Anolis sagrei: one gene and its partners. The protein of the gene in region 3 interacts with the protein of the main gene of each other region in a pairwise test. Links are inferred from orthologs where the notes say so. Each region holds a gene or a part of one and is shown on either strand. Other genes may lie near its edges. The genes, in order: PRPS1, CTPS2, SPG21 and protein NOXP20.

Region 1 (7,420 bases), on a different chromosome or scaffold from region 3:
GCTGAGTCTGAGTGAGAGAGGATCTATCCTAGCAAACCTTTTATATCATCCCAATAGCCCCATGCATATGGGATATATTGAGCATGGTGATCAGATCATGATATGAATAAACATAACAGTTTAAGTAATATACCCTTAAGGCCTTCTCAAGGACCACCTTGAGAATTTGGAGAGAGGGGGGGGCTGAAGCACCTCAAGCCCCTCCCCCCGGTGTAATATATAATATATAATTAATATTATATTGTATTATTATTAGTATTATATTGTATTAGGTAAAGGTTTTCCCCTGACATTAAGTCCAGGCATGTCCGACTCTGGGGGGTGGTGCTGATCTCCATTTCTAAGCCGAAGAGCCAGCATTGTCCATAGACACTTCCAGGGTCATGTGGCTGCATGGAGCGGCATTACCTTCCCATCAGAGCAATACCTATTGATCTACTCACATTTGCATGTTTTCGAACTGCTAGGTTGGCAGAAGCTGGGGCCGCTTCCCGGATTCGAACCTGCGACCTTTTGGTCCGCAAGTTCGGCAGCTCAGCGTTTTAACCCACTGCCCCACTGGGGGCTCCATATATTGTACTACATTATAATATTGTCAATATTATAGATATATACCAGGGGTCCTCAAACTAAGGCCCGACGGCTGAATATGGCCCTTCAAGGTCATTTACCCGGCCCTCACTCAGGGTCAACCGAAGTCTGAAATTGCTTGAAAGCACACAACAACAACAACAATCCTATCTCATCAGCAAAAAGCAGCCCCACACTTCCCATTGAAATACTAACAAGTTTATATTTGTTAAAATTGTTCTTAATTTTAATTATTGCACAGTTTAAAGTGTTTTTTGTACTACAAATAATATATGTGCAGTGTGGGTCATTTACCTGGCTCTCGCTCAGGGTCAACCTAAGTCTGAAACTGCTTGAAAGCACACAACCACAACAACAACAACAACCCTATCTCAATCCTATCCCATCAGCCAAAAGCAGCCCCACACTTCCCATTGAAATCCTAACAAGTTTATATTTGTTAAAATTGTTCTTCATTTTAATTATTGCACTGTTTAAAGTGTTTTTTGCACTACAAATAAGATATGTGCAGTGTGCATAGGAATTCATTCATGCTTTTTTCAAATTATAATCCAGCCCTCCAACAGTTTGAGGGACTGTGACCTGGCCCTCTGTTTAAAAAGTTTGAGGACCCCTGGTATATACAATATATTGTATTATTAGCATGGCACAATATTATTATTATTATTATTATTATTATTATTATTATTAACTTTATTTGTACCCCGCTAGCATCTCCCGAAGGACCCGATGCGGCTTACAAAGGCCAAGGCCTCAATAAAACAACAATATAACAAATACACATAAACCAAAAGCAAATCAAAACATTAAGTAATAACAGTAAGCAGTAAAAACAGTACACCGCAACACAATAAAAACTAAGCCGGGCCAAGTGTGATGGGTACAGATTAAAAGTGCTGATATTAGCTTATATAGTACTATATTGTGGCTGGAATGGCCTTTTAACTTTTAGGATGTGGGGAATCATACAATCAAAGAGTTGGAAGAGACTTCATGGGCCATCTAGTCCAACCCCCACCAAGAAGCAGGAATATTGCATTCAAATCACCCCTGACAGATGGCCAGCCAGCCTCTGTTTAAAAGCTTCCAAAGAAGGAGCCTCCACCACACTCCGGGGCAGAGTGTTCCACTGCTGAACAGCTCTCACAGTCAGGAAGTTCTTCCTCACGTTCAGATGGAATCTCCTCTCTTGTAGTTTGAAGCCATTGTTTCAAGTCCTAGTCTCCAGGGCAGCAGTAAACTAGCTTGCTCCTTCCTCCCTGTGGCTTCCTCTCACATATTTATACATGGCTATCATATCTCCTCTCAGCCTTCTCTTCTTCAGGCTAAACATTTATTTATTTATTTATTTATTTCAGGTACTTTTACCCCGCGGCTTACAAAAGGCATAATTCGATGCCTATACAAAAATTATACATAGTGTACAAAAACCATAGTTAAAACAATTATCACAGTTAAAACAATCATAACAATCAATATACATCACATCATATAAAAACTATTCACATGCTCAGCGTTCGTCTTTCAGAGTTCCAAATTCCATTCCATTAGTCATTTCCTGGCCATTCTCAAAGTCCTTTCTTTATCTGCACATGTTCGGCTCCTTAAGCCGCACCTCATAGGGCTTGTTCTCCAGACCCTTGATCATTTTAGTCGCCCTCCTCTGGGCACATTCCAGCTTGTCAATATCTCAATAGGAGCATAGTGTCTAGATCTAGGGAAGTAATGCTATCCCTCTATTCTGTTTTGGTTAGACCACATCTGGAATATTGTGTCCAATTCTGGGCACCACAATTCAAGAGAGATATTGACAAGCTGGAATGTGTCCAGAGGAGAGCGACTAAAATGATAAAAGGTCTGGAGAACAAGCCCTATGAGGAGCGGCTTAAGGAGCTGAGCATGTTTAGCCTGAAGAAGAGAAGGCTGAGAGGAGATATGATAGCCATGTATAAATGTGTGAGAGGAAGCCACAGGGAGGAGGGAGCAAGCTTGTTTTCTGCTTCCCTGGAGACTAGGACGCGGAACAATGGCTTCAAACTACAAGAAACGAGATTCCATCTGAACATGAGGAAGAACTTCCTGACTGTGAGAGCCGTTCAGCAGTGGAACTCTCTGCCCCGGAGTGTGCAGTTTCAAGACCTGACTCATTGCTGCCTGGGGGAATCCTTTGTTGGGAGGTGTTAGCTGGCCCTCATTGATTCTTGTCTGGAATGAGGAATATTATGGATTTCAGTAAGGCCTTCGACAAGGTCCCCCGTGACCTTCTGGCAAACAAACTAGTCCAATGTGGGCTAGGCAAAACTATGGTTAGGTGGATCTGTAATTGGTTAAATGGACGAACCCAGAGGGTGATTCTTCCCAATGAAGAACTTCCTGACTGTGAGAGCCGTTCAGCAGTGGAACTCTCTGCCCCAGAGTGTGGTGGAGGCTCTTCTGTGGAAGCTTTTAAACAGAGGCTGGATGGCCATCTGTCAGGGGTGATTTGAATGCAATATTCCTGTTTCTTGGCAGGGGGTTGGACTGGATGGCCTATGAGGTCTCTTCCAACTCTTTGATTCTATGATTCTATGATCTCTCTTGAATTGTGGTGACCAGAATTGGACACAATATTGTCCAGAGGAATCTCTGAGCTTGACCCTGCCTCTAGTACTTATTGAGGACTAGAAACTTAATGAAACAAAAGACTTGTGCAGTCCAGGGATGAAACCCAACGTACTTCACCAAACTACAACTCCCAGGACCTCGCAGCATGAAGTCATGCCAAGGTGCACTAATGCAAAGTGGAAAATACCATCCGTAAAGATCAAAGTTGACAACATTACGCTTATAATCATAGAATCACAGAGTTGGAAGAGACCTCATGGGCCATCCAGTCCAACCCCATTCTGCCAAGAAGCAGGAAAATTGCATTCAAAACACCCCCGACAGATGGCCATCCAGCCTCTGTTTAAAAGTCTCCAAAGAAGGAGCCTCCACCACACTCCGGGGCAGAGAGTTCCACTGCTGAACAGCTCTCAAAGTCAGGAAGTTCTTCCTCGTGTTCAGATGGAATCTCCTCTCTTATAGTTTGAAGCCAGTGTTCCGTGTCCTAGTCTCCAAGGAAGCAGAAAACAAGCTTGCTCCCTCCTCCCTGTGGCTTCCTCCCACATATTTATACATGGCTATCATATCTCCTCTTAGCCTTCTCTTCTTCAGCTCCTTAATCCGCTCCTCATAGGGCTTGTTCTCCAGACCTGTGATCATTTTAGTCGCTCTCCTCTGGACACATTCCAGCTTGTCAATATCTCTCTTGAATTGTGGTGCCCAGAACTGGACACAATATTGTCCAAAAGGAATCTCTGAGCTTGACCCTGCCTCTAGTACTCATTCAGGACTAGAAACTTGATAAAACAAAAGACTTGTGCAGTCCAGGGATGAAACCCAATGTACTTCACCAAACTACAACTCCCAGGACCTCGCAGCATGAAGTCATGCCAAGGTGCACTAATGCCACTTTCAAGAGTCTTGATCCACTTCGCGCAGGCGCACATCGCACCCTCCGCCGCCAACCCCTCCCCTCCCTCCTCCAGATCTCGCCTCCTGTATTACCGCGATAAAGCCTTCACGAGGAGCCCGCTCCCATTGGCTGCCGGGGCCCGCTCTGCTCCTCGGAGGAACCAATCGGAAACGCTTGCCGGCATGCGCCTGCGCGCTGGGTTGCTCCTCGCGCGCGGCAGGTGGGCGTGGCCGAGGCGATAAAAAGGGAAGCGCCAAGATGGCGTCGTCGTTGTTGTCGTCGCGGTAGGAGCGCTCTCCCCGGCCTCCCGCCCTCCGCTCTCGTTCCCCGCGTTCTTCCCGCCAGAGCCGCCAAGAGGGCGGAAGGCCGGCGGCGGCTGGATCCCCCGCGGGCAGGCGAGGCCGAGGCGGCGGGCCCCGAAGGCCGGGAGCGGCGCAGGGAGGCCGAGGAGGCGGCGGCCTCTCCCTCCTCCTCCTCCTCCTCGCCCAGCTCGGCGCCGCCCCCTCCCCACCCCTCCTTGGCCGGCAGGATGCCCAACATCAAGATCTTCAGCGGCAGCTCCCACCAGGACCTCTCGCAGAAGATCGCCGACCGCCTCGGCCTCGAGCTCGGGAAGGTCGTCACCAAGAAGTTCTCCAACCAGGAGACATGGTGAGTCAGGGGGGAAGGGGCTCAGGCCTGGCTTCCCCCGGAAGTCCCGCCCTCCCAAGCCCCTTCCTGGCTGTTCAACAGTGGAACTCTCTGCCTTGGAGAGTAGTGGAAGCTTTGAAACAGAGGCTGGATGGGCATCTGTTGGGGTGGCTTTGAGTGTGCTTTTCCTGCATGAGGGCAGAAAAGGAGTTGGGCTGGATTTATTTTATTTATTTATTTACTTTACTTTACTTGTTTACTTGTTTCTCAGCCCAACAGGCGACTCAACGCGGTTTACAACAGGGATAAAAATCAACCAACGATATACAATTTAAAACCATAAGAGCATAGTATACAATATTGACACAACAATAAACAAACACAATGCATCTCATAACTAGAGTCGTGATCCAATTCGTCGTCCATATTTCCATTCCTGTAATCATCACATTCATTGCACTGTTTATCCGAATGCCTGTTCAATCATCCAAGTTTTTAATCTTCTTCGAAACACCATTAGCGAGGGGGCTGATCTAACCTCCATAGGAAGGGCCCCTGGAGTCTCTTCCAGTTATGTTATTACTGTTGTAGAGACTGGATGGCCATTTGTTGGGGGTGGAGGCTTTGAGTGTGCTTTTCTTGCATGAAGGTAGAAAGAAGGGGGTTGGATTACATGGTCTCTTGGGTCTTCTACAGCTATGTCATTATTATTATTATTGATACTGCATGGCCATCTGTTTGGGGGGCTTTGAATGTGCTTTTCCTGTATGAAGGCAGAAAGAAGGGGGTTGGATTGCATGGTCCCTTGGGTCTTCTACAGCTATGTCATTATTATTATTATTGATACTGCATGGCCATCTGTTTGGGGGGCTTTGAATGTGCTTTTCCTGTATGAAGGCAGAAAGGGAGTTGGGCTGAATGGTCCCTTGGGTCTTCTCCAGTTATGTCATTATTATTATTATTATTATTATTATTATTGATACTGGATGGACATCTGTTTGGGGGTCTTTGAATGTGCTTTTCCTGTATGAAGGCAGAAAGAATGGGGTTAGACTAGATGGCCCCTGGAGTCTCTTCCAGCCATGTTGACCTCACCTCTGAGGATGCTTGCCATAGATGCAGGCGAAACGTCAGGAGAAATGCCTTTAGAACATGGCCATATAGCCCGAAAAAAACCACAAGAACTGCATGTTGTTGTTCTTGTTATTGAGACTGAGTGGCCATCTGTAGGCAGGGCTTTGAGTGTGCTTTTCTTGCATGAGGGCAGAAAGAAGGGGGTTGGATTGCATGGTCCCTTGGTTCCTCTACAGCTATGTCATTATTATTATTATTATTATTATTATTGATACTGCATGGCCATCTGTTTGGGGGGCTTTGAATGTGCTTTTCCTGTATGAAGGCAGAAAGAAGGGGGTGGACTGGATGGCCACTGGAGTCTCTTCCAGCTAAGTTGTTGTTATTATTGAGACTGAGTGGCCATCTGTTGGCAGGGCTTTGAGTGTGCTTTTCCTGTATGAAGGCAGAAAGAAGGGGGTGGACTGGATGGCCACTGGAGTCTCTTCCAGCTAAGTTGTTGTTATTATTGAGACTGAGTGGCCATCTGTTGGCAGGGCTTTGAGTGTGCTTTTCTGGCACTAGGGACTCTGGGCAGACTCACAGCAAACACCATTCGGTGCCATCATAATAATAAGTACAATCAACAAATTCATTAAAACAAAACATTAAATAAACAGTTTTTAAAACATGTCAATTAAAATCCAGGTCTAGAACAATTCATTGTCACTTCAAAATTGCTTATGTTCGTACAAGTTGCTGTTCAATGGTCAAATGCAAGGTCCCACAGCCAAGTCTTGAGTTTCCTTCTAAAGGACAGGAGGGAGGTGGCCAGTCTGATGTCTTTAGGGAGGGAATCACAATTGCGGCGGCAGTGGGATCAAGAGCAGGGCCTCTCCAGATGATCTTAAACTTCATGATGATTCGTAGTAGGAGATATGTTTGGACATGTAGTCTAGGCCAGAACCTTTTAGAGCTTTAAAGGTTAAAACCAGCACTTTGAATTGTGTTCAGAAGCAGATCAGCAACCAGTGGAGGTGCTGTAACAGAGGAATTGTCTGCTCCCTGTACCTCGCTACGGTCAGCAACCTGGCTGCTGACTGTTGGACTAATTGAAGCTTCCAGGCAGCCCCACATCAGAATTGGCTGCCTGCAAGGATGTTGCCCAGGGGATGCTCGGATGTTTGATGTTTTACCATCCTTGTGGGAGGCATCTCTCATGTCCCAGCATGGGGAGCTGGAGCTGACAGAGGGAGCTCATCCACGCTCTCCCCAGATTCGAACCTGCAACCTGTCAGTCTTCAGTCCTGCCAGCGCAAGGGTTTAACCCATTGCACCACTGGGGGCTCCATGTTGGACTGAATAAATAATGATTATGATGTTATCTTTATTGATATTCTGCCCCATCTCCGTGGAGCAGCGGTTTTCAACCTGTAGGTCCCCAAGGGGTGTTGGCCTACAACTCCCAGAAATCCCAGCCAGTTTACCAGCTGTTAGGATTTCTAGGAGTTGAAGGCCAAAATATCTGGGGACCCACAGATTGAGAACCACTGCCCTAGAGGGACTCGGGATGCCTTACAATGCAAACAGAACAACATAAATATACAGCAATAACCTAATCAATCCAAAATTTAACTTAAACCACATCAA
Region 2 (7,321 bases), on a different chromosome or scaffold from region 3:
TTAAGGGTGAAAGCTGTGCTTTTATTCAATATTCTAGCATGAAGATTATTTCTTGATAAAGTTTTGCACTATTTTTGCACAATTAAATATTATGTGCAGCTTAAAGGCACCAGATCTCTCATGATATTGAAAGCTAAGCATGGACAACCCAATCTCTACTTGGACGGGAGACTGCCAATAAATACTAGGTGGTGTAGGTGAAAGGGGAAGAAACTGACAAAATCACCTCTGAATATTTGTTGCCAAAGAAAACCCTAAGGAATTAATGGGCTCATCATAAGTCAATAAGTGACTTGTCAGCACACACATAAAACAATTTTGTGCTTTGTTGGCCCAACTGACAGAAGACTAGAAGAGATTACAGGAGTGCTTTGTTTCTTCTGCACCACTATTAATCAGATAAAGAACTTTTTTTGACAAGCATAGCCTTGTGGACTTCTCTTATTGTAGCTAGCTAAAGAAATGTATTCACCAGAGAACTCAACTATAAGATCAAAGACTTCCTCTGAAACTGTTCTTGACTTCTTATCTCTGAACCCAAAACTACAGAAAACTTTATTGCAATTAAATGCAGAACCTGTATAAATTCAGCAGTAATAGAATCTCACCATACTTTGCCAACCTGCTTCCACAGGAGCTTGCCTGTTTGGATTTATTGGAGGCCTTACTCTTGATGGCCTGTTTGCTAAACTATGGTATATGTTTACTACAGGTGAGGTAATATTTCTATGATAGCACTTCTTCTGAGTTCCTTCAAAATTTCTTGGCTATTTTCCAAACTCTTGCAAGTGTTAATCTATTGGTATTACATAAGATCACATCTGACTATAATATGGTATTAATAAATTATTATTACTTGGTTACTTAATTTGTATTTCTATATATAGTAAAGTGTCATAAGCTACTGCTTGGAGCACATGGAATGTAAATACCTTAAACAAAAAGCAAGCATTTAAAAGTAGTAAGAAACTGGAGTCCCTACTGATTCCACATCTTTATATCTTCTGTACCTAAAATGCCAGGCATTTGAGTTTCACATTTATTAATTTTCAATGGTACTTAACTTTCCCAAAACTTGTAATACATTTGAGCATGTAATTAATGTTTCTGTTCACACTGATGAGCAAAATAGTCTTATAATGATCATGATGAATCAGTGTTCCCTTTTCTGTAGTTGGCTCACTGTATCCATGGATTCTCTAGTCATGTGTTCACCACCCATGTCTTGAATATTTTAAAAAAGACATTACAAAAAGCAAATCTTACATTTTGCCATAAAAGGGCCACCATTTTACTATGCCGTTGTATTTAAAGGGACTTGAGAACCCATGGATTTTGGGTCCCTTCAAATGTTGTTTGTGTCCTGGAACCAAACCCCAGGGATATCAAGGGCCCACTTTTATAATAAAGCTAAGTTAGGATTTCCTTAGTAGTTAACCTCAGATGTTAAGAAAAAGTCTGGAGTTTTGCAATTGCCTAAGCAACCTGCTCAGAGACCTTTGGACATCATATGAGCCAAAGGAGCATGGCACAGCCAATCCTTTTTTCCTCCAGATCTGGAAGTGTTTTCAAGGAGGCAGCTACTGTGTTATCAGCATCTGAGCAGATGTGCTCCTCAACTTCTTTTGATGCTGGAAGACCTTGATAGGCACATTCCTTGGCCATGTGCACATAGAAACACTTTGTGCTTGAACATACCAGGACACTACTTCCATGCCTTTCCCAGTAGGCGCATGCTGTCCACCCTGCTTTCTCTACAGAAAGTTGTGGAGTTGGAGTGGTACCTGTGGGCATTCTGACCACTGTACAGAGAGATCAAAATGAGCAGAACCTGAGACTCATATTTTTTTTAGAAATCTAGCAAGATTCACTGACAATTCTAAATCCTTTCATGCGCCTTTCTTACTTCTTTGTGTGTGTGTGTGTGTAGTTTTTCACTTTCAAGGGAGTCCTGTGCCCCAAATCCCAAAGCTGGCTGTACTTAACACTTAACAGTTAGGAGGAAAGGGAGCCTCTTAGCCCAATTATTCCATACAAAGAATAAACAATAAACATCATTTTAACCCTTCCCAGGTAATTTAATTAGGAACTGGAAAAGAACTATGAGGAATCCCCAAAAGCAGCACAGTGTTGCCAACCATATTCTAAGGAGCTTTCTGGCATGAGGACAGACAGCTATGTCCTTTCCCTTCTTTTCTAGGTTCTGCTGCAGAGTAGGATTTGGCATTCTTCATTTGCTCGTGCATTAAAACACTCTTGAGTGCATCTGCACTGTCACGTTAGCGTAGTATGAAATCACTTTAACTACCAAGGCTCAATGCTATGAAGTCCTGGGAATTACAGTTTGGTGAGGCGGAGAAAGCAGCAAACCTTGCAATAACGATAACTCCTGGGATTCTACAGCATGGCAGTTTAAATAGTACCAAACTGCATTAATGTTACAGTGTAGATGCACTCTTAGTCCCTGTTCCAAAAGAATGGCAGGCCTGGCTTTGGTTGGTAAAATGATAGCACTTTATTTTTGTTTTGCGGCCTTCTTATTTTGATTATTGTTTTCGACAAGGTCAAATGTAAGATACTACACTTTGGCAGAAAAAATGGAATGCAAAGATACTGGATGGGTGATGCCTGGCTCAACAACAGTCAAGGTGAAAAAGATCTTGGAGTCTTCCTGGACAACAAGTTGAACATGAGCCAACAGTGTGATGCAGCAGCTAAAAACACCAAATGGATTTTAGGCTGCATCAAAAGGAGTATAGTGTCTAGATCAGTGATTCTCAATATGTGGGTCCCCAGGTGTTTTGGCCTCCCAGAAATCCTAGTCAGTTTACTATCTGTTAGGATTTCTGGGAGTTGAAGACCAAAACATCTGGGGACCCACAGGTTGAGAACCATTGGTCTAGATTGAGGGAAGTCATGGTACCTTCTATTCTGCTTTGGATAGACTTCACCTGGAATACTGTATCCAATTCTGGGCACCACCATTCAAAAGAGATATTGACAAGCTGGAAGGTGTCCAGAGGAGGCGACTAAAATGATAAAAGTTCTGGAGACCTATGAGGAGTGTCTTAAAGAACTGGGTATGTTCAGCCTGCAGAAGAAAAGGTTGAGAGGAGACAATAGCCATGTGTAAATATGTGAAAGGGTGTCATAAGAGGGTGCAGGCCTGTTTTCTGCTGCCCTTGAAAGTGGAACTAGGGTTCAAATTACAGAAAATGAGATTCCACCTGAACATTAGGCAGAACTTCCTTGCTGTATATGCTGTTCAACAGTGGAACTCTCTGCCTCAGAATGAGGTGGGAACTCCTTCCTTGGAAACCTTTAAACAGAGACTGGATGACCATCTGTCAGGGATATTTTGTGCTTTTCCTGTATGGAAGGGGGTTGTACTAGATGGCCCACATGGTCTCTTCCTACTCTATGATTCTGTTGTGAAAATGAGTGCGATATCCTTGGCTGTTGTGTTTTGTATTACACTGTGGGTTTTTTCTTCTTTTTGCAAGTTATCACAACTATAGCACAGCTTTTGTACAATAGTGAATTATTCTTCCTCCTTCCCTTTGTGTCTGTAGGCCTCTACAATGATATTTTAGATCGTGCACGTCAAAGGCATGTCATTTTATGCGGCCAGTAGGGCTTGCAATGCAACACAAGTTACATTTGTGCCTTACATGGGCAAACTTCGGCCCTCCAGGTGTTTTGGACTCCAACTCCCACAATTCCTAACAGCCTAGCGGCTGTTAGGAATTGTGGGAGTTGAAGTCCAAAACACCTGGAGGGCCGAAGTTTGCTCATGCGTGAGCTAGAGGCGTCCTTGCTGTGTTTCGTGGTGTTCCTGCAAAACGACATATAGGTTGGATGGTGGTATTAAGGACCACGATGGGACGAGGAAGAGGAGGAGGCGGCGGGACGGAATGGCCTCAGGCGCCGGAGCCCGCTTCCCTCGCGGCCGCGTGGAGCGGAGCCTCCTCTCCCCTCCCTCCTTCCTTCCCTCGCCCAGCCGCGAAGACAAACCCGCCGGGCTCTTACCTCAGGACCTCCGCGGGCTCCGTCCGAGGCCAAGGCCGCCTCCGCCTCCCCGCTGCGCCTCCCTCCCTCTGGCAGGTCCTGAGGAGCCTCTCCGCCGCGCGCCGCCATACTGTGACGGCAGGAGCCAAAACAAGCCGGCCCGCACCGGAAGCCCTCCTCCGCCGCCACATTCCCCGCCTCCTCTTCTTCCCTCTAGCCAATCACGGGGCGCGCTTTCTCTTGCCACGTGACGCCAAAGGACCAACCGGCTCACACCTCAGCCATTGAGAACTACTCCCCCCAGCATCCCTTGCGGCAGAAGCACATGGGGACACCTCTCTCTCTCTCTGTATGTACCTCCCATGCCCTTTCACTTGAGAGACACCCTATGGGGAAGGTTGCAGCCTATTAAGGGCTGTACGCTTTTCTCGGCGCGCGGAGGCGGCAGGCAAATGCTTCGCGCTGCAAGGGGCCCGCTGCTCTTAAGCCGCTCTGTCAGGAAAGTACAGGAGTTCAAGCCAGGGTGAGTCTCTTTCCGGAGAGGTTTCTCATCGTAGCTTGTATTCTCTCTGCTTTCGATGAGATCTCTGCATATTCACCTCTACTTTTTGGTGTGTTGTTCCAGACAAGAGCTTTATCTAAAGCCGTGGTTCCCAACCTTTTTTTGACCAGGGACCACTCTCCAACATTAGTACCTTACTTTATATACTTAGGCGATCCCTCGTTGTCCGAGTAGGATAATCCTCCAGGGTGGGTCCGTAGACGACTGTGGAGCCCTATTCTTGACCTGCATCTTCTCCCACAGTGAGGGCATCGGTTTCCAGGTGGGAAGCGGTCCTGGTCGGGGTTGGTTTGACGCACCTTCCTCTTGGCACATTTCTGTCTTTCGCCATCCATTTGTGCCTCTTCAAATTCTTCAGCACTACTGGTCACAGCTGACCTCCAGGTGGAGCGCTCAAGGGCCAGGGCTTTCCAGTTCTCTGTGTCTGTGCCAGTTTTTAAGGTTGGCTTTGAGCCCATCTTTAAATCTCTTTTTCTGTCCTCCAACATTCCGTTTTCTGTTCTTGAGTTCGGAGTAGAGCAACTGCTTTAGGAGACGGTGGTTGGGCATTCGGACATGTTGATTGCAGAGGACCATCACTTCAGTGCTGGTGGTCTTTGCTTCTTCCAGCATGCTGATGTTTTCCACTTGTCTTCCCAAGAGATTTGCAGGATTTTCCAGAGGCAGCACTGATGGAATCATTCCCAGAGTTGCATGTGACGTCTGTAGACAGTCCACATTTCACAGGCATATAGCAGGGTTGGGAGGACAATAGCTTTATAAACAAGCACCTTGGTATCCCTACGGATGTCCCGGTCCTCAAACACTCTCTGCTTCGTTCGGAAAAAAGCTGCACTCACAGAGCTCAGGCGGTGTTGTATTTCAGTGTCAATGTTGACTTTTTTGGAGAGGTGGCTGCCAAGGTAGCAGAAATGATCAACATTTCCTAATGTTACACCATTAAGCTGTATTTCTGGCATTGGAGAAGGATTGGCTGGTGACTGCTGGAAAACTTCGGTTTTCTCGATGTTCAATGACAGGCCGAGCTTCTCGTATGCTTCTGCGAAGGTGTTTAGAGTGGTTTGTAGGTAGACTTCTGGATGTGCACAGACAATGTCATCAGCATATTGAAGTTCTATAACAGATGTTGTTGTAACCTTAGTTTTGGCTTTCAGTCTGCTGAGGTTAAATAGCTTACCATCTGTCTGATATGTGATTTCAACACCGGTGGGAAGCTTCCTGTCAACAAGATGAAGTATCATAGCGATGAAGATGGAAAATAAAGTTGGGGCAATAACACATCCCTGTTTGACATCTGATTCCACCTTAAATGGGCCACTCTGGGAGCCATTGTTGTCCAAAATCGTTGTCATCATGGAGGAGCCGCAGGATGTTCACAAATTTGTTAGGGCACTCGATTTTTGGAGGATGGTCCAGACATTAGTACCAAAAGGGTTACGAATCAGTTTTTGGTCAACTTTTCGTTTGGTTATTTAGGGTGCTGATTCAGAAAATTGCATTGGATAGACCACATCAGCTCTAGTTTCTGATACAGAGCATATGCCATCCAGTAGTGGCCATCTGCTTGCCCACAGAATTATAGAATCATAGTTGGAAGAGACCTTGTGGGCCACCCTGTCCAACCCCCCGCCAAGAAGCAGGAAAATTACATTCAAAGTACTTTGAATTGCATTTCAAAGAAAACAGTACTTAATAAGCCTTGGCACTATAAGAGGGTTTCGTGAGACCAGTCTCGCTCTCATTGCAACAGTATAGTAATGGTGAGGCCACGGACCATATTTTAATTCTTGTGGACCACTGGTGGTCTATGGACTACAGATTGGGAACCATTGCCTTAACAGATGCATCTACACTGTCAACTTAATGCACTTTTACACCATTTGAACTGCCATGGCTCAGTCTCTGGAATCCTGAGATTTGTAGTTTGGTGAAGTACCACCACTCTTTGGCAGGGAAAGCTAAAGATCTTGTGGAACTACAACTCCTAGGATTCAAGAGCACCGAGTCATGGCATTGGGGTCAAAATGTATTCATTTGACATCCCAAATCCCCATTCCTCTGTTGTCATCCCGATATGTATTAAGCAATACATTCTATTGGCTTCTAGTACTCGTACATTCAGGGCAAAGAACGCAAGTTGTTTTTAAATTTCTTGTTAAGTAAAGCACCTCTTAGATCTTTCAGACATATTTGTCATTGCCTTCTAAAAAAAGTTCATGCCCAGTTTTATACGGATGTTTGTGGCACAACTCCACTACATTTGCTGAATTGTCTGCCTTAAATTATGAAGCATTTCCCCATTGTACAAAATACCGGAAATTGAGCACATAATGCATACTGTTACCATTGAAAGTAAATATATTGTAATTATAATGTGTGCCTTCAAGTCACTTGTTGAATTCCAGTGACCCCCCCCCCCCCCCCCGGCTTTTCTAACCTCGGACGGGACTCAAGTCATTTCAACCTGCTTCTAGAAACAAATTCATCTGGTGGGAGTTAACTGAACCATACATTTGACAGGATCCATACTACAAAAGGACCTAAGCTAAGAGAACTGGGACAACTATGTCCAACATTATTCATGATTCAGGGTACAGAACTATTTGGTTCTGTCTTACCTGCCAATAAATAAGGTTGAGTTGGGTTTACACCAATTATTAAACCAAATAAGCTGTTTTACTCCTGGCTGAAGGTGCTGAAAAGCATCCCTTTGCTTTTATGGTACGGGAAAAGTACCAGATGTTCCAAGTG
Region 3 (7,956 bases):
TTATTATTACTGACATTAACACTTAAAATAAATAATATTGTAAATTATAATTAAGTGTTTATAAATACCCAAGGGGGTGCCATAATAATAAAAATAATAAATGTATTTTTATACCCTGCCTTCATCTACCCAAAGGGACTCGAACGGCTTACATGGGGCCAAGTCCAACAATTAAAACATAACACATTAAAATGCCTATCAACAACATAATAATAAAGCAATATAACAAAATAAAAGCAACAACATTAAGCAGCATATAAAGCGAACATTCAAACCAACAACCAACTGCAAAGTTCAATGTCTTGTAATGGGGTGGGCGGACTGGGGTCACAATATTAAATAAATAGTTTTAAATAAATAAATAAAAAATAAATATTAGAGGATAGAGCTAATGAGTGAGGTGCAGATAGCATATAGCAGTGATAAATATAAGGACGATTTATCATTAAAGATTTGGATGAGAGATTTTTGTACATTAATAAATGGAGATTTTTGTACATTAAAAAATAAAGACGTCCCCTAAAAATAATGTATCTTTTGGAGCAAAAATGAATATAATACCCAGCCTTATTTTCATGGAAGAGGCACGGAAGCTGGCAATATTGGTTCATCTGGGAGAACAATATATATATATATATATATATATATATATATATATAATACTAATATAATGCTCAATCAACTACCAAACTCACACATTTTGTATTTTCTCTGTTTGTTTGCTTTGTTCTGTTAGAAATGTAATATAATTGACTGGTTGCCCTGACACGAGAAATAAATTAAATTAAATATAATGCTATGGTTATAATATATTATATTATATATACATATACTATTGATAATATTATAAAATAACAGAATATAAGACTAATAATAATACAGTACAATATATAATAATAGTCATATAACAATACCAATATATTAAATGCAACACTGCTGATAATATATATAATGATAATATTGTGTTATTATTGCAATGTTATTGATTGGGAACCGCTTTAAGCCTCCGTAGGGAGAGATAAAGCAGAATATAAATCAATCAATCAATCATCAGATCCATAACATGGAAGTTAACACAGGGTTAACACAGGGCTGTTAAAAACCTAAACAAGGGCCTTGAAAAGCTCGAAACCAGGAGTGAGGCCTAGCGCGCGGCTGAAGCCTCGGTCTCCGTTAGGGAGTTACCTCTTCGCGCCGAAGGGAGGGACGCGCTGAGGAGCCGTGCCGCCGCCGCGCAGGAACCGCAGGCCGCCATCTTGGCGCCGTCGTTCTTCCCACCTCAGAAGACCGAGACCCGGATGTAGCGTCACAGCCTCCGCGAAGAACGGCGGTGGGACCACAACTCCCGGCAGCCCCCGCGCCGAAGAGGCCGCGCTGATCAACCTCGAAGCGTACGATTTGCCTTCTGGGAAGGAGAGGCCAATGCACGAGAGGCGTGTGCGCAGGCGCAACTCACTATCTAGGAAGTCAGAGCTCTTCTTACGCGTTTCCCCTCTAGGTGGCGGGCCATCCTAGGGTCTATCTATTTTCCTATCTATCTATCAGTGCGATGCTACTCTGCTGCTGAGTATGCATGCTCAGTGTGGAACACATCTCACCACACTAAAACAGTAGATGTGGCTCTTAATGAGACATGCCGCATTATCATGGGATGTCTGCGCCCTACACCACTGGAGAAATTAGACTGCTTAGCCGGTATTGCACCACCTGACATCCGCCGGGAAGTAGCAGCCAATAGTGAAAGGACCAAGGCAGAGACATCTCCAGCTCATCCCCTGTTTGGGTATCAGCCAGCACGTCAACGACTTAAATCTAGAAATAGTTTTCTAAGATCTACAGAGACACTCGCTGGAACACCCCAGCAAGCGAGAGTCCAAAAGTGGCAGGCCCAAACCCAGCACCTCATTTCATGGGTGATACCAGATGAGAGACTCCCCCCTGGGCACACAGAGGACATGGCGACTTGGAAGGCGCTGAACAGACTGCGCTCTGGCACCACGAGATGCAGAGCCAATCTTAAGAAATGGGGCTACAGGGTGGAATCCTCGGCATGCGAGTGCGGAGAAGAACAAACTACTGACCACCTGCTGCAATGCACCCTGAGCCCTGGCACATGCACAATGGAGGACCTTCTTGCGGCAACACCAGAGGCACTCCAAGTGGCCAGATACTGGTCAAAGGACATTTAAACAACTACCAAATTTGCAAAATCTGTGTGGTTTTTTTCCTTTTTTCCCCTTTTCTTTTTAATCTCTGTGTTTGTTTTGCTCTGTTAGAATTGTAATACAATGGTTGCTGATGACACGATAAATAAATAAATATCAGTGCTTCTCAACCTGGGGTCCCCAGATGTTTTTGGCCTACAACTCCCAGAAATCCTAGCCGGTTTACCAGCTGTTGGGATTTCTGGGAGTTGAAGGCCAAAAACATCTGGGGACCCCAGGCTGAGAAGCACTGACTGATCATGGAACAACAGGCTGGTTCAATGTTGGGAAAGGCATATAGCGAGGTTGTATACACTCCCCCAACATATTTAACTTGCATGCAGAACACATCATGCGACCTGTGGGGCTTGACGAATGCAAGGCTGGGGTGAAAATTGCTGGAAGAAACATTAACAACCTCAGATATGCAGATGACACCACTCTGATGGCCGAAAGCAAGGAGGAGCTGAGGAGCCTTCTAATCAAGGTGAAAGAAGAAAGCGCAAAAGCTGGGTTGCAGCTCAACATAAAAAAGCCCCAAGATTATGGCAACAAGAATGATTGACAATTGGGAAATAGAGGGAGAAAACGTGGAGGCCGTGACAGACTTCATATTTCTAGGTGCAAAGATTACTGCAGACACAGACGGCAGCCAGGAAATCAGGTGACACTTACTTCTTGGGAGGAGAGCAATGTTCAATCTCGATAAAATAGTGAAGAGTTGAGACATTACACTGGCAACGAAGATCCACAGAGTTAAAGCAATGGTATTCCCCGTAGACACCTACAGATGTGAGAGCTGGATCTTAGGGAAGGCAGAGCGAAGGAAGAGAGATGCTTTCAAACTGTGGTGCTGGAGGAAAGTTCTGAGAGTGCCTTGGACTGCGAGAAGATCCAACCAGTCCATCCTCCAGGAAATAAAGCCCGACTACTCATTGGAGGGAAGGATAGTACAGACAAAGTTGAAGGACTTTAGCCACATTATGAGAAGAAAGGAAGGCTTTAGAGAAGACAATAATGCTGGGGAAAATGGAAGGAAAAGGGAAGAGGGGCCGACCAAGGGCAAGATGGATGGATGGGATCTTTGACATGACTGGATTGACCTTGAAGGAGCTGGGGGTGGTGACGGCTAACAGTGAGCTCTGGCATGGGCTGGTCCATGAGGTCACGAAGAGTCGGAAACCACTGAACGAATGAACAACATTTATTTCATAAAATTGATTTGGATTGCTTGGGGGCCCTCCCAACTCGAGGAATATCTATCTATTTGATTATTTATCTATTCTGCCTATCTTCCCATCTTATCTATCAGCTATTATAGGATGGACTGGATGGTCTTTGATGTGTCTTCCAACGCTAGGAATCTAGAGTTGTGCTATGCTAATAATATAATATATATAGATATAATCTTGATAATATTTTTTATTTATTTATCATATTAGGAGCAAACCATGGGTACAGTTGCAATGCATTTAAAAAACAAGTTTTTTTAAAAAAAAAACTTGGCATATTAAATGTTCTTTGACCAGTAGCTGGCCACTTGGAGTGCCTCTGATGTTCCTGCAAGAAGATTCTCCATTGTGCATGTGGCAGGGTTTCTGTGGTTTGCTCTTCTCCACACTCGCATGTTGTGGACTCCAGTTTGTGGCCCTATTTCTTAAGGTTGGCCCTGCATCTCGTGGTGCCAGAGTGCAGTCTGTTCAACGACTTTCAGCTCGGTTGTTGTGGTTTTTTTCCGGCTATATGGCCTTGTTCTAGAGGCATTCTCTCCTGACGTTTCGCCTGCATCTATGGCAAGCATCCTCAGAGGTAGCCACCTCACCTCACTACCTCTGAGGATGCTTGCCCTAGACACAGGCGAAACGTCAGGAGAGAATGCCTCTAGAACAGGGGTCCCCAAACCTTTTAAACAGAGGGCCAGGTCACAGTCCCTCAAACTGTTGGAGGGCCAGATTATAATTTGAAAAAAAAAACATGAATGAATGCACACTGCACATATCTTAATTGTAGTGCAAAAATACTTTAAAATGAAGAACAAATATTAACTTATTAGTATTTCAATGGGAAGGGTGGGCCTGCTTTTGGATGATGAGATAGGATTGTTGTTGTTGTGTGCTTTCAAGTCGTTTCAGACTTAGGTTGACCCAGAGCGAGGGCCGGGTAAATGACCTTGGAGGGCCGGATCCGGCCCCCGGGCCTTAGTTTGAGGACCCCTGCTCTAGAACATGGCCATATAGCCTGAAAAAACCTACAATCCAGTGATTCCAGCCACGAAAGTCTTCAACAACAGACTTTCAGCTCGTCCACTCTTCTGTGAGCTCAGGGGGGAGTTTCCTCATTTGGTATCAGCCATGGATTGAGGTTCCAGGCTTTAGCCTGCCACTTTTGGACTCTCGCTTACTGAGATGTTCCTGTGAGTATCTCTGTACATCTTTGTACTATTTCTTGATTTAAGGCGTTGGAGTGCTGGACTGGGAATGTCACTGCGTCAGGAGAGAATGTTTCTGGAACATGGCCAGAGAGTCCAGAAAACTCACAACAACCCAGCTTCTGCTGGTGGTGAAATCCCCTTTAAACTTCAAGGCTTTGTGCGCATGCGTGGCTGGAGCCTCCACGTGATTCTTCCCTGCGTCCCCTTCCCGCCCCTTTATGGGGAGCCCCGCCCACTCGGCTTTGTGACGTCCGCTGATTGGCTGGCGCCGCACACCTTTCGTCTCCGCCTACTTGGAGAGACCAGGAAGTAGGGACTGGAAGATACCATTCGAGCGGGAAAAGGGGAGGGACGGTGTGTTTGTTAAGGTGGTTTCGTCCACCCGCCCGTCTCGAAACGGAGGAAAACCTGGTAAGGATTGAAAAAGAGAGGAAGGGAGTGCCTTTGTTCAGGTTTTTAGGCAGTGGGTAAGCGAGAGACCCCAAATCATGCCTTTGGGGGAGCCTAAAGAAGAATGGTAGATCCCAGCTTGCCTCCCTTAGAGGAATGGCATGCCCCTGATAGGGAAGCTGGGCTGAGTCAGGTGCCTTGTTTGTTTGTTTGTCTGTCCCTGATCTTCACCTTCTTCCTGTTGGTTGTCATTATTTGCATTATGCATTTCATAAAATACATCATGTGTATATATATTCTGTAGGTTGTATGGATTTTTGCATATATTTTTATTGATCTTGAGTTATATGAAACCTGGAACTTAGGTATATTTCAGTGATGCTAATGATTGATATAGTATTTTAATGGGGTATTTCCCCCTGCATTTTATAATCTGGTTTCTGTGTACCTTTTATGTATTATATATTATACAATATAGTACAATATATTATATCATAATATAATATAATAATTGTATATTACATATTGCATGTAATATTACTAATAAGGTTGTACAATTATTGGTAATATTACAATATAATAATATATTGTACTAATATTGTGGTATGCTAATCCTCACTTTGAGACACTTTGAGAGTGTTTGAGGACCGGGACATCCGTAGGGATACCAAGGTGTTTGTTTATAAAGCTATTGTCCTCCCAACTCTGCTATACGCCTGCGAGACGTGGACTGTCTACAGATGTTACACGCAACTCCTAGAATGATTCAACCAGCATTGCCTCCAAAAAATCCTGCAAATCTCTTGGGAAGACAAGCGGACAAATGTCAGCGTGCTAGAAGAAGCAAAGACCACCAGCATTGAAGCGATGGTCCTCTGCCATTAACTCTGCTGGACTGGCCACGTTGTCCGGATGCCCGGCCACCTTCTCCCAAAGCAGTTGGTCTACTCTCAAGAATGGAAAACGAAATGTTGGAGGACAGGAAAAGAGATTTAAAGATGGGCTCAAAGCCAACCTTGAAAACTCTGGCATAGACACTGAGAACTGGGAAGCCCTGGCACTTGAGCTCTCCAGCTGGAGGTCAGCTGTGACTAGCAGTGCTGTAGAATTTGAAGAGGCACGAACGGAGGGTGAAAGAGAGAAACATGCCAAGAGGAAGGCGTATCAGGCCAACCCCGACTGGGACCGCCTTCCACTTGGAAACCAATGCCCTCACTGTGGGAGAACATGCAGAGCAAGAATAGGGCTCCACAGTCACCTACAGACCCATCGCTAGGACACCAATCTTGGAAGACAATCCTACTCGGATAACAAGAGATCGCCTAAGTAAGTAAATATGCTAATAATGCATAATGGTGTAACATTAGAAACTGTTGACCATTTCTGTTCCCTTGGCAGCCACCTCTCCATAAAAGTCAACATTGACACTGCTATACAGCACCACCTGAGCTCTGTGAGTACAGCATTCTTCCAAATAAAGCAGGTGCTTGTTTATAAAGCTATACGCCTGCAAAACGACTGTCTACAGACGCCACACTTACTTAGGCGATCGCTTGTAGCCCGAGGATGATGGTTCTCCAAGTGTAGTGTCTTGCCGGTGAGTCCGTAGGTGGCTGTTGAGCCCTATTCATGATCCGCATGTTTTCCCATAGTGAGGACATCAGTTTCTGTGTGGAAGGCGGTCCCGGTCAGGGGCCGCCTCTTGGCAGATTTCTCCCTTTCATCATTCATTCGTGCCTCTTCGAATTCTGCAGCACTGCTGGTTGCAGCTGATCTACAATTAGAGCGCTCAAGGACCAGGGCTTCCCAATTCTTGGTGTCTATGCCACAGTTTATAAAGTTGTCTTTAAGCCCATCTTTCAATCTCTTTTCCTGTCCACCAACTTTATGTTTCCCATTCTTGAGTTGGGAGTAGAATAACTGCTTTGGGAGACGGTGATTGTGCATTCGGACAATATGGCACTAAGTCCGGTGGAGTTGATGGCGTAGGAGTATCACTTCAGTGCTGGTGGTCTTTGCTTCTTCCAGCATGCTGATATTTGTCCACCTGTCTTCCCAAGCGATTTGGAGGCAACACTGATGGAATCGTTCCAGGAGTAGAAAGTGATGCCTGTAGACAGTCCACGTTTCGTAGGCATATAGCATATAGCGTATTTTGTTCCATAGTGTTATTGCAAATGGAAAGAGACCATGAGACGCTCACCGCTTTGGTAGTGAGATATACAGTTTTCTTGGGGACTTTGCAAAGAATGTAAATAATGTCCCATAATCCTGAAGTGGAGCCTTTGGGCTGGATTGTCAAGGATCCAAACCCTTTACTTTGTCTCCCATTTTTTGTGCAGCTTTCTTCAAGTGGAATTGTACAAGGCGCACAGCTGCAGTTTGCCTTATATATAATGTAATGCATGACTGGTTTCATAGGAATTGTTTGCCCTGCCAGTGTATTTCTTGCTTTCTGTTCTTCCTGCCACTTTGTACGTAACAGACACAAACGCCGTGTTTTCAAAATCACTTCCCCTTTCTAAACATTTCTCTCAAACCGAGCCAAAGGAGCACAGTTCGAAAGAGAAGATTAATCCACTGCTCAGAGCGGCGAGCAAGCTTTGCCTTGAATGAATCCATTGTACGTCTGAGTACCTTTTGTGTTTTTAGCTGAAACGCATGTTCTTTTAGACAGAAACGTCTCCCTTTATGTTTCAGGTGTTCCTCACTGTGGGCTCGCGACCATCATGGGAGAGATTAAAATCTCTCCGGACTATAACTGGTTCAGAAGTACGGTTCCTCTCAAAAAGGTAAGTTCAACCTCTAAATATAGGCTACATCAGGTCAATAGATGCAAGGAAGCTTCTGGCTGGGTGGAGTGGCCATCTAGTTGGGTGGAGTGGCCCAGATCAAGAAATAAAATGCCCCAGGGCAGCAGAACAGAGGCCA
Region 4 (7,625 bases), on a different chromosome or scaffold from region 3:
ACCAGTCTTTCTCATTGCAGTGGTGTAGTAATGGTGAGGCCGTGGACCATATTTTAGTTCTTGGGGACCACTGGTGGTTCACGGACTGCAAGTTGGGAACCACTGCCTTAAAACAAAGGGAACATGCATCCTGAAGACTTCCATTCTACGTTATCAGTTGGGATGGGAGGAGAAAGGTCAGAGAATGAGAAAAAAACAGAACAACAACAGACATGCAGGAATGAGGGGAAAATGATACCCTCAGCCTAGCTTAATGCTATCTTTCAGCTTCTCATTGAGGACTGCAAACTTAAAAAAAAACCTTGTTGCAGGATATCCTGCAGCACATTTTGGTATAGTTTTTCTTTTTTAAAAAAATTGAAATTTTTATTGAAATTTTATCATGTGAAATAAAGAAAATGAAAAAAGAAATCTAAAGATAGTATTTCCTTTACAAAGTGGGAGAACATTTGCTTGTATAGAAAGTAGGAAAAAGAGAGAAAAGAGAAAAGAAAAAGAGGAAACAAAGAGAAAAAGAGAAAAAAATGAAAAATTTGATACTCTAAAAACTGTAAAAAAGAAAAAAAAGAAAAAGATATTTGTTGACTTCTTTCTTGCTTTTGATGGTCATTACGTTTATTTGGAATTACTATTATGTTATAATTGTTCTGCTTCCCCTACGTCTTCTTTTTTCCTTAAGATTGACTGTCTTCAGCAGATGAGATCTATTTTCGTCTGTTTTAAGTAGTCTTTTACAAGGTCCCAGTTGGTCTCTTTCTTAGGTAGGCCTTGGTTAGATGAAAGCCAATAGGCAAGTCTGTCCATATTCATAATCTCTAGCACTTTGGTCAGCCAGTCTTCTTCTTTTTGTCTCCAGTTCCTGGCGTACACTATTCTGGCAGCAGTGACCAAGAAATTAAACAAAATCTCTTTATTCTTGTCTTTTTATATATCTAGCATGCCATATAAAAATATTCAGGCTCTCTTTGAATTTTTATTTTTAAAATCTTTTGTATGGCTTCATTTATGTCTTTCCAAAACTGTTGCGCTTTCGGGCAGGTCCACCAGGAATGGAAAAAAGTTCCCGTATGTTGTTCCCATTTCCAACATTTGTTGGATGCGTTTTTATAACATTTAGAGATTTTATATGGTGTAATGTACCACCTATATAGCATTTTAAGCCAATTTTCTTTCAAATCAAAAGAATAGGTATATTTAAGTCTTTGATTCCAGGCTTTTCCCCAATGTTTTAAGTCAATTTGGTGTCTAATGTTTTGGTCCGATTTCACCATACATTCTTTTATTTGCTCTTTTTCTGTTGTCCACTCTAGTAGTTTTTTATATATTTTAGTAATCAGTTTATTTTGTGTCTTCATTATATTGTCCCAAAAGCCATTTTTATCTGCAAAACCCAAGAATTTCAGACTTGAACAGTGTAGGGTTGAATTCCAACAAATGGTTCAGCATAATGTAGTTTCCCACTCAGAACTACTATGCTATGCTGAGCCAAATAGAATTGCTGCCCTTAAATCCCATTAAATGTCAACTAGACCCAGAACAATGTCAGCTCAATCCAGATTGCCATCTCCTGTGCTTCTGAATTTCCTTTTACACTGGAAATAGACAAAGATTTAAAACTTCTGACAGCCCCAGAACAACCAGTAGCCATCTGGAAATCTGTGCTATACACCAAAACTCTGCAACCCTTCAGCATGCCATACTGCTTATTAATTCCTGCTGCTGCTCTTGTTGTCTGCCATAGTCAGAAGACGGCACGGTTATCTGGGATTCTTTATTGTAGCCCATTTATTTTATTACTTGAAACCTCTTTTGCTGCCAAAGTGGACCAACTCTAATTGAACATAATATCTGAGCACTGAACTCTACTTTTTCTGGCGACATTTTTCAATCCACTCAGTTTTGACTCCCTCACGTTGCTGTAGTGTTAATGAGGCATCACTGCCAGTACAGAAGTGGCATAATGCCAGTGTAGCCCTCTACTCTGATGCTGTACAATTGCCTGTCCAGTTTTGCCCAGCATGCAGCCAGACATACAATGAGAACACAATGCTTTCAATCAGTCAGAAAGGTAAACCCACATTTGTTATGCTGCGTTTGTGTCCCGTCCTTCCCTCTCAAACGCTTTTGTCCGTGCACATGCTTTCTCAACCATGCTATTTCCCAGCCTTACAGTATCTTATGTGGTATTACAGTCTTTGGTGGCCAGTTATTATTGAAATCATGAGCATTTCAGATTGTGATCACAGAACCTTGAAGCGCTATAAGAAGTTCTTCTCATCCATATTCCATGCACTTTATTGCTTCTTGTTCTAATTGAATATCACTGAAGCATAAAAATACAAATAGTTTGCTCCGAACTAATATCCATCTATTTTAGCCCAGTGGCAGTTTCTCATAAAATGCTTATTTATTTTTTTGATACATAAACTGCACTAAATTAACTCCATTTTTCTGATTACAATAAAGGGGATGATCCAACTAAATTTAGATATAACAATGTTCAAGGCAACAAGGCAATTCTCAACGTATTTATTCAGTTCTGTTCCTAGTACGACCATAGGATTGCTCACAAAGAGCCTGCCACTGATATAGGTTCTTCTATAGGAAAAGCTGGGTGGACAGAAATAATTATGTATTAAGTAACCAAAGCAAATGTGTAAAATGCCAAATGCCTTGAAAGATAAATCTTAAAATAAAAGTGCATAATCTTACTGAATAGATCAATATATGTCTGAAAATCTATGTAGTTAATGTTGACATGTGACGTGTTAATTTTAGGCCACTCTCTGTTTGCAGTGGTTTCAAAACACCAACTATAGATTATATATAAAAATCATATATAAGGTGTTGTCGAAGTCTTTCATGGCCAGAATCACTGAGTTGCTGTGAGTTTTCCGGACTGCATGGCCATGTTCCAGAAGCATTCTGTCCTGACATTTCACCCACATCTATGGCAGTCTTCCTGCCTGGGTGAAGTCAACCAGAAAAGTCAGCCATAGCAGAGCACCTGATGAACCACCCTCAACACAGCATATTATTTGAGAACACAGAAATGCTGAACCACTCTAACAACCACCATGTCAGACTACACAGAGAAGCCATGTGGACAATTTCAACAGAAAGGAGGAAATCATGAATATGAACAAAATCTGGCTACCAGCATGTAAAAAAAATCTAAAATCAGGACAGTAAATAAAGAGCAACACTCAAGCAACAGGGTTATTCCAGACAAGAAACAAATCAGTGCAAGCTAGCACCTCCCAACAAAGGATTCCCCCAGGCAGGAAGCAGCCAGGCTTTGAAACTGCAAGGCAACTCAATGCCAATTGCAACATTCACACTTGCCTCAAACAGACAAGAGTTCTTTCTCCCACCTTGGACATTCCACAGATATATAAACCTCACTTGCCTATTTTCCAACAGACTTCATAACCTCTGAGGATGCCTGCCATAGATGTGGGCGACATGCCAGGTGAGAATACTTCTGGAACATGGCCATACATCCCGGAATCATAGAATCAATACATATGTAATTTCTAGACTTGTGCTCGGATCTGTTTTTCCTTTGGTACCTTCAGAAGCACGTACAATCATAGAATCATAGAGTTGGAAGAGGGCTCATGGGCCATCCAGTCCAACCCCCTGCCAAGAAGCAGGAAAATTGCATTCAAAGCACCCCCGACAGATGACCACCCAGCCTCTGTTTAAAAGCTTCCAAAGAAGGAGCCTCCACCACACTCTGGGGTGAAGAGTTCCACTGCTGAAGGCTCTCACAGTCAGGAAGTTCTTCCTAATGTTCTTTCTTGTAGTTTGAAGCCATTGTTCCACATCCTAGTCTCCAGGGCAGCAGAAAATAAGCTTGCTCCCTCCTCTCTATGACTTCCTCTCACGTATTTATACATGGCTATCATCTCTCCTCTCAGCCTTCTCTTCTTCGGGCTAAACATGCCCAGCTCTTTAAGCTGCTTCTCATAGGGCTTGTTCTCCAGACCCTTAATCATTTTAGTCGCCCTCCTCTGGACACATTCCAGCTTGTCAATATCTCTCTTCAATTGTGGTGCCCAGAATTGGCACAATATTCCAGATGTGGTCTAACCAAGGCAGAATAGAGGGGTAGCATGACTTCCCTGGATCTAGACACTAAACCCCTATTGATCCAGGCCAAAATCCCATTGTCTTTTTTTGCCACCGCATCACACTGTTGGCTCATGTTTAACTTGTTGTCCACGAGGATCCCAAGATCTTTTTCACATGTACTGCTCTCGAGCCATGCGTCCCCCATTGTGAAAACTAACAGCAAGTCATATATAAGGTTTATCACATTATTAATATAATTGTAATATTTAACATTTGCAATATTTGTTTGAATGTTCAAAGCACTTCACATACGTTATCTTAGGGGAATATTTCTAAAAATCCAAATCAGTATTATTACGATACTGCAGACGGGGAACAGGATCAACTGAAGTTGGAAGGGAACTGAAATCTCTTGGCAGGTTTTCCACTGCTGCTACTGGCCCAGCGATGAACACTGTGTTTTTCTTGTTTTGTTTTTTTAAGTAATTAATGTATGCAGAATTGTTTCATATAAACCATATATGTTCTGCTGCAGGTCAAGGACTAACTGCAGTTAAAGAAAAAGCAGCCACCCTCAGAATTCATGTTCCTTCCTCTGGGCCATCAGAAGACCCACATCCCAGCACAGCTGAAAACCTTGTTGCAAGTGGTAAGCGAGGCATTATCCTTTCTATTTGTTAATAGAAATATGAAATGGCTAGTCTTGTGTCAGTGCAAATCTTTAATCTGTGATCATGCTCTGACATTACTAGCATCTGGGATTCCGGGGTTCTTTTTTCCTTTCAGACACGGAAGAGACCCTGCCACAAAACTCCCAAGAAGATGCAGTTTCACCTTCATCTCCTTCTGGGTCACGCGGAATGTTTTCAACCATTTCTAGTGCTGTACAGAATACGGTAAGCAATTCCCGTGACAAAAAGAGCATTGAGGAAGGGCAGTCCAGAAAAAGCAAAGAATACACATAAAAGAAAAGAAAGCAAATAAATAAATAATTGAAAACACAGTTGAAAAGTATGAAGTGCTTTATCTGCTAACGGGCAAAACCAATGCAGTCATCATTTAGAAAATATACTCCAGAATAATTATCACCGGTATATGGAGAAGTCATTTTTTTTCTTTGCAGGACATATCAAACTGCCTCCACTTGCCTTGTAGACAGTTTTGGACTTTTGTATCAAAAGCTGAAAGCAGCTGGACCGCAGCTTCTCATCCCGAGTAGCAGATGCTACAGCTTTGTTGTGATAGATGATGTGTTGAAATGCTCCAGGCACATACAGGGATTCATAAACTCCCAAACCATATTGACAGCAAGACAAGCTGTCAACATTTGTGAATAATTCAGATTTACTGCATGGTGGCAAGACTGTGGCGTGACCATGTCCAGAGCCTTAGGGCAGCAAAATGGGTTATTGCACACACTCCCTGCGTGCCTATAGGATTCCTGCAAAAAAGGACAGTTGTGTGTGAGCAGTCCATCTTCTTGGTGCAATGCAGTAAACTAAAATCAAAGAGCGCATCCACAGACCTAGCTGTGTACATTCCATGGAATATTATGGCTTATTTGCTGCTTGTTGTTTTTGTTTTGCTTACTTTTTGCCATCTGCTGTGATTTAACAAAAGAAGAAAGCATGGTAGTATATACAGTATTTAGTCCCAAATTTATCCCCTCAGAATTGTATCTTTTCAGTATCCAGTTGAGAAACGCCACCACATTTGCAGTAGAAGTTCTGCATTTTACGCAAAGTTTGTAGAGATGTGTGTTCTGGGATGTACCTTCAGTTTACAATAAATGTTTTTACAAGTGCAATGGGTGCCTCACACTAACTAAGCTGCTTTCTTAGATAACCACTGTTCACTTGTGCTTTGGAAGGAATATTAATTCACACTGTTTGAGAAGATTAACCTCAATTGCTGAATATATTGCCAAAAAATTCAAAGGGAACCCCAGGTTGAAAAATACCTGGCTTAATACAAAATACTAAGATTATTGTATATTTGTGTTGTTGACACTGTCTTGTTTTTGCTTTTGTCCCTTTCAATTGATGTATTTCCTTTTCACTAACTTATTAATTATTTTGCCAATAATCTTTTGGAAAAATGGAAATCTCTAGAACTATTTGGATATTTTGTGATCTTTATTAAGGCATGACCTTGTTAGAAGTCAACCTTTTGAAAAATGATGCCATAACCTCTTGGTAAAAAGCATGACCTGTTAGAGTCATAACCTTTTGGGAAAATGTCATTCACCAGCATTCATTCAAGGCAACTAGGTTTCTCAGTATTCCAGTGTACTCTCTCTCCCTCCCTCTCCCCCCCCCCCTCTCTCTCTCTCTCTCTCTCTCTATATATATATATATATATATATATATATATCAATCAGAGCTTCAGAAGTGTGGCTTTTAGTTGCCTAAAAAAATCTACTCTCCCTCAAAACATATTTGACAAAAATAAGCAGACTTCTTTAAAAGTAACATTGTTGATTTACTCACATACATGTACTTTGCATATCAATCCAGTTACAAATAGGATTTGAAGTAGTTTTTCTGTGTAGTTAACATGCATTCATGCCGGCCCCATGACCTTGAAGGTGTCTACGGACAACGGCGGCTCTTCGGCTTTGAAATGGAGATGAGCACCACACCCCAGAGTCAGACATGACTGGACTTAATGTCAGGGGACAACCTTTACCTAACACAGGGCATCATTCTGAGAATCAATAGTCCATAATCAAAAGCATCTCTCTGTTTTGAGAGTCTAATAGAGTCTTGTTTCTAGTTTGAAAGTCCAATGGGGTCTCTAAGCATACTGTTTCTACTGAAGTCTAAACTGTATTGTTCCTAAAATAGAGTCTGAGTCCTGAGCAAGCCCAGTTCTGATCACACGGTCTGCAGCCCCTCCCACAACAAAGAGTTAAAGTAAAATTGCCTACCAATACACATATATACAATATAATAAGCAATTATATATATATAAAACAAACAACTAGAGGAGGCTTGAGAAGGTTGCGATTTCCAACATAATCTGTATTTGAGCTGATGAGCGAGCCATAAGTCTTACATAAGTCTTATTTGGAGTTGTACAAAAAATCAAGAACACCTGGAATCCAAAGCAAATTGTTTCCAACTATTCAAATTGATGTGATTTTCTTACAATTTAGCTTTGTGATGCACGTTCATAATAACACTATTCTCTGAATTGCCCAGGGCAAAAGTGTCTTAACTGGTGGCCTTGGTGCTTTGGAGTTCATTGGCAAGAAAACCATGAATGTCCTTGCAGAAAATGATCCTGGATTTAAGAAAACAAAAATACTGATGGAGCGAACCGTTTCTTTATCTCAGGTAAAAATAGCCAATTCTGATAATATGATAATCAAAACTGTTGGAAGTAATACAACAGGTCTGCATAGCTGACTATGATGATAATTTTCCAGAGCTTCCGAGTTTTGCTGTGATCCTTATAGGCTAAAGCTAAGGCTGCCAGACTCATTTTCATGGATTTGGCAGCCGAATCAACCAAATACATTACACCAAAATGATATTATGCACAAC

What was found.
Region 1: the proteins of SPG21 (region 3) and PRPS1 interact in binary tests that used the Homo sapiens proteins (3 or more experiments, as listed by UniProt). The two-hybrid records come from large-scale screens. The link is inferred for Anolis sagrei from reciprocal best matches to the Homo sapiens genes SPG21 and PRPS1.
Region 2: the proteins of SPG21 (region 3) and CTPS2 interact in binary tests that used the Homo sapiens proteins (3 or more experiments, as listed by UniProt). The two-hybrid records come from large-scale screens. The link is inferred for Anolis sagrei from reciprocal best matches to the Homo sapiens genes SPG21 and CTPS2.
Region 4: the proteins of SPG21 (region 3) and protein NOXP20 interact in binary tests that used the Homo sapiens proteins (3 or more experiments, as listed by UniProt). The two-hybrid records come from large-scale screens. The link is inferred for Anolis sagrei from reciprocal best matches to the Homo sapiens genes SPG21 and FAM114A1.

The regions. Positions count from the first base shown.
Region 1 is NC_090030.1:20,037,030-20,044,449, forward strand, and holds the start of PRPS1 (ribose-phosphate pyrophosphokinase 1), read left to right. Parts: upstream 1-4,310; 5' UTR 4,311-4,616; coding exon 4,617-4,738; intron 4,739-7,420. UniProt on the Homo sapiens protein: Catalyzes the synthesis of phosphoribosylpyrophosphate (PRPP) that is essential for nucleotide synthesis.
Region 2 is NC_090023.1:90,167,880-90,175,200, forward strand, and holds the start of CTPS2 (CTP synthase 2), read left to right. Parts: upstream 1-4,317; 5' UTR 4,318-4,370; coding exon 4,371-4,531; intron 4,532-7,321. Other genes in the region: TXLNG (gamma-taxilin), read right to left, coding at 4,030-4,137. UniProt on the Homo sapiens protein: Catalyzes the ATP-dependent amination of UTP to CTP with either L-glutamine or ammonia as the source of nitrogen. Constitutes the rate-limiting enzyme in the synthesis of cytosine nucleotides.
Region 3 is NC_090029.1:18,381,825-18,389,780, reverse strand, and holds the start of SPG21 (maspardin), read left to right. Parts: upstream 1-4,905; 5' UTR 4,906-5,046; intron 5,047-5,091; exon of another isoform or gene 5,092-5,218; intron 5,219-7,541; exon of another isoform or gene 7,542-7,648; intron 7,649-7,725; 5' UTR 7,726-7,754; coding exon 7,755-7,817; intron 7,818-7,956. Other genes in the region: CLPX (ATP-dependent Clp protease ATP-binding subunit clpX-like, mitochondrial), read right to left, coding at 1,186-1,255. UniProt on the Homo sapiens protein: May play a role as a negative regulatory factor in CD4-dependent T-cell activation.
Region 4 is NC_090025.1:119,061,655-119,069,279, forward strand, and holds the start of protein NOXP20, read left to right. Parts: upstream 1-4,616; 5' UTR 4,617-4,726; intron 4,727-4,863; 5' UTR 4,864-4,937; coding exon 4,938-4,973; intron 4,974-7,280; coding exon 7,281-7,415; intron 7,416-7,625. UniProt on the Homo sapiens protein: May play a role in neuronal cell development.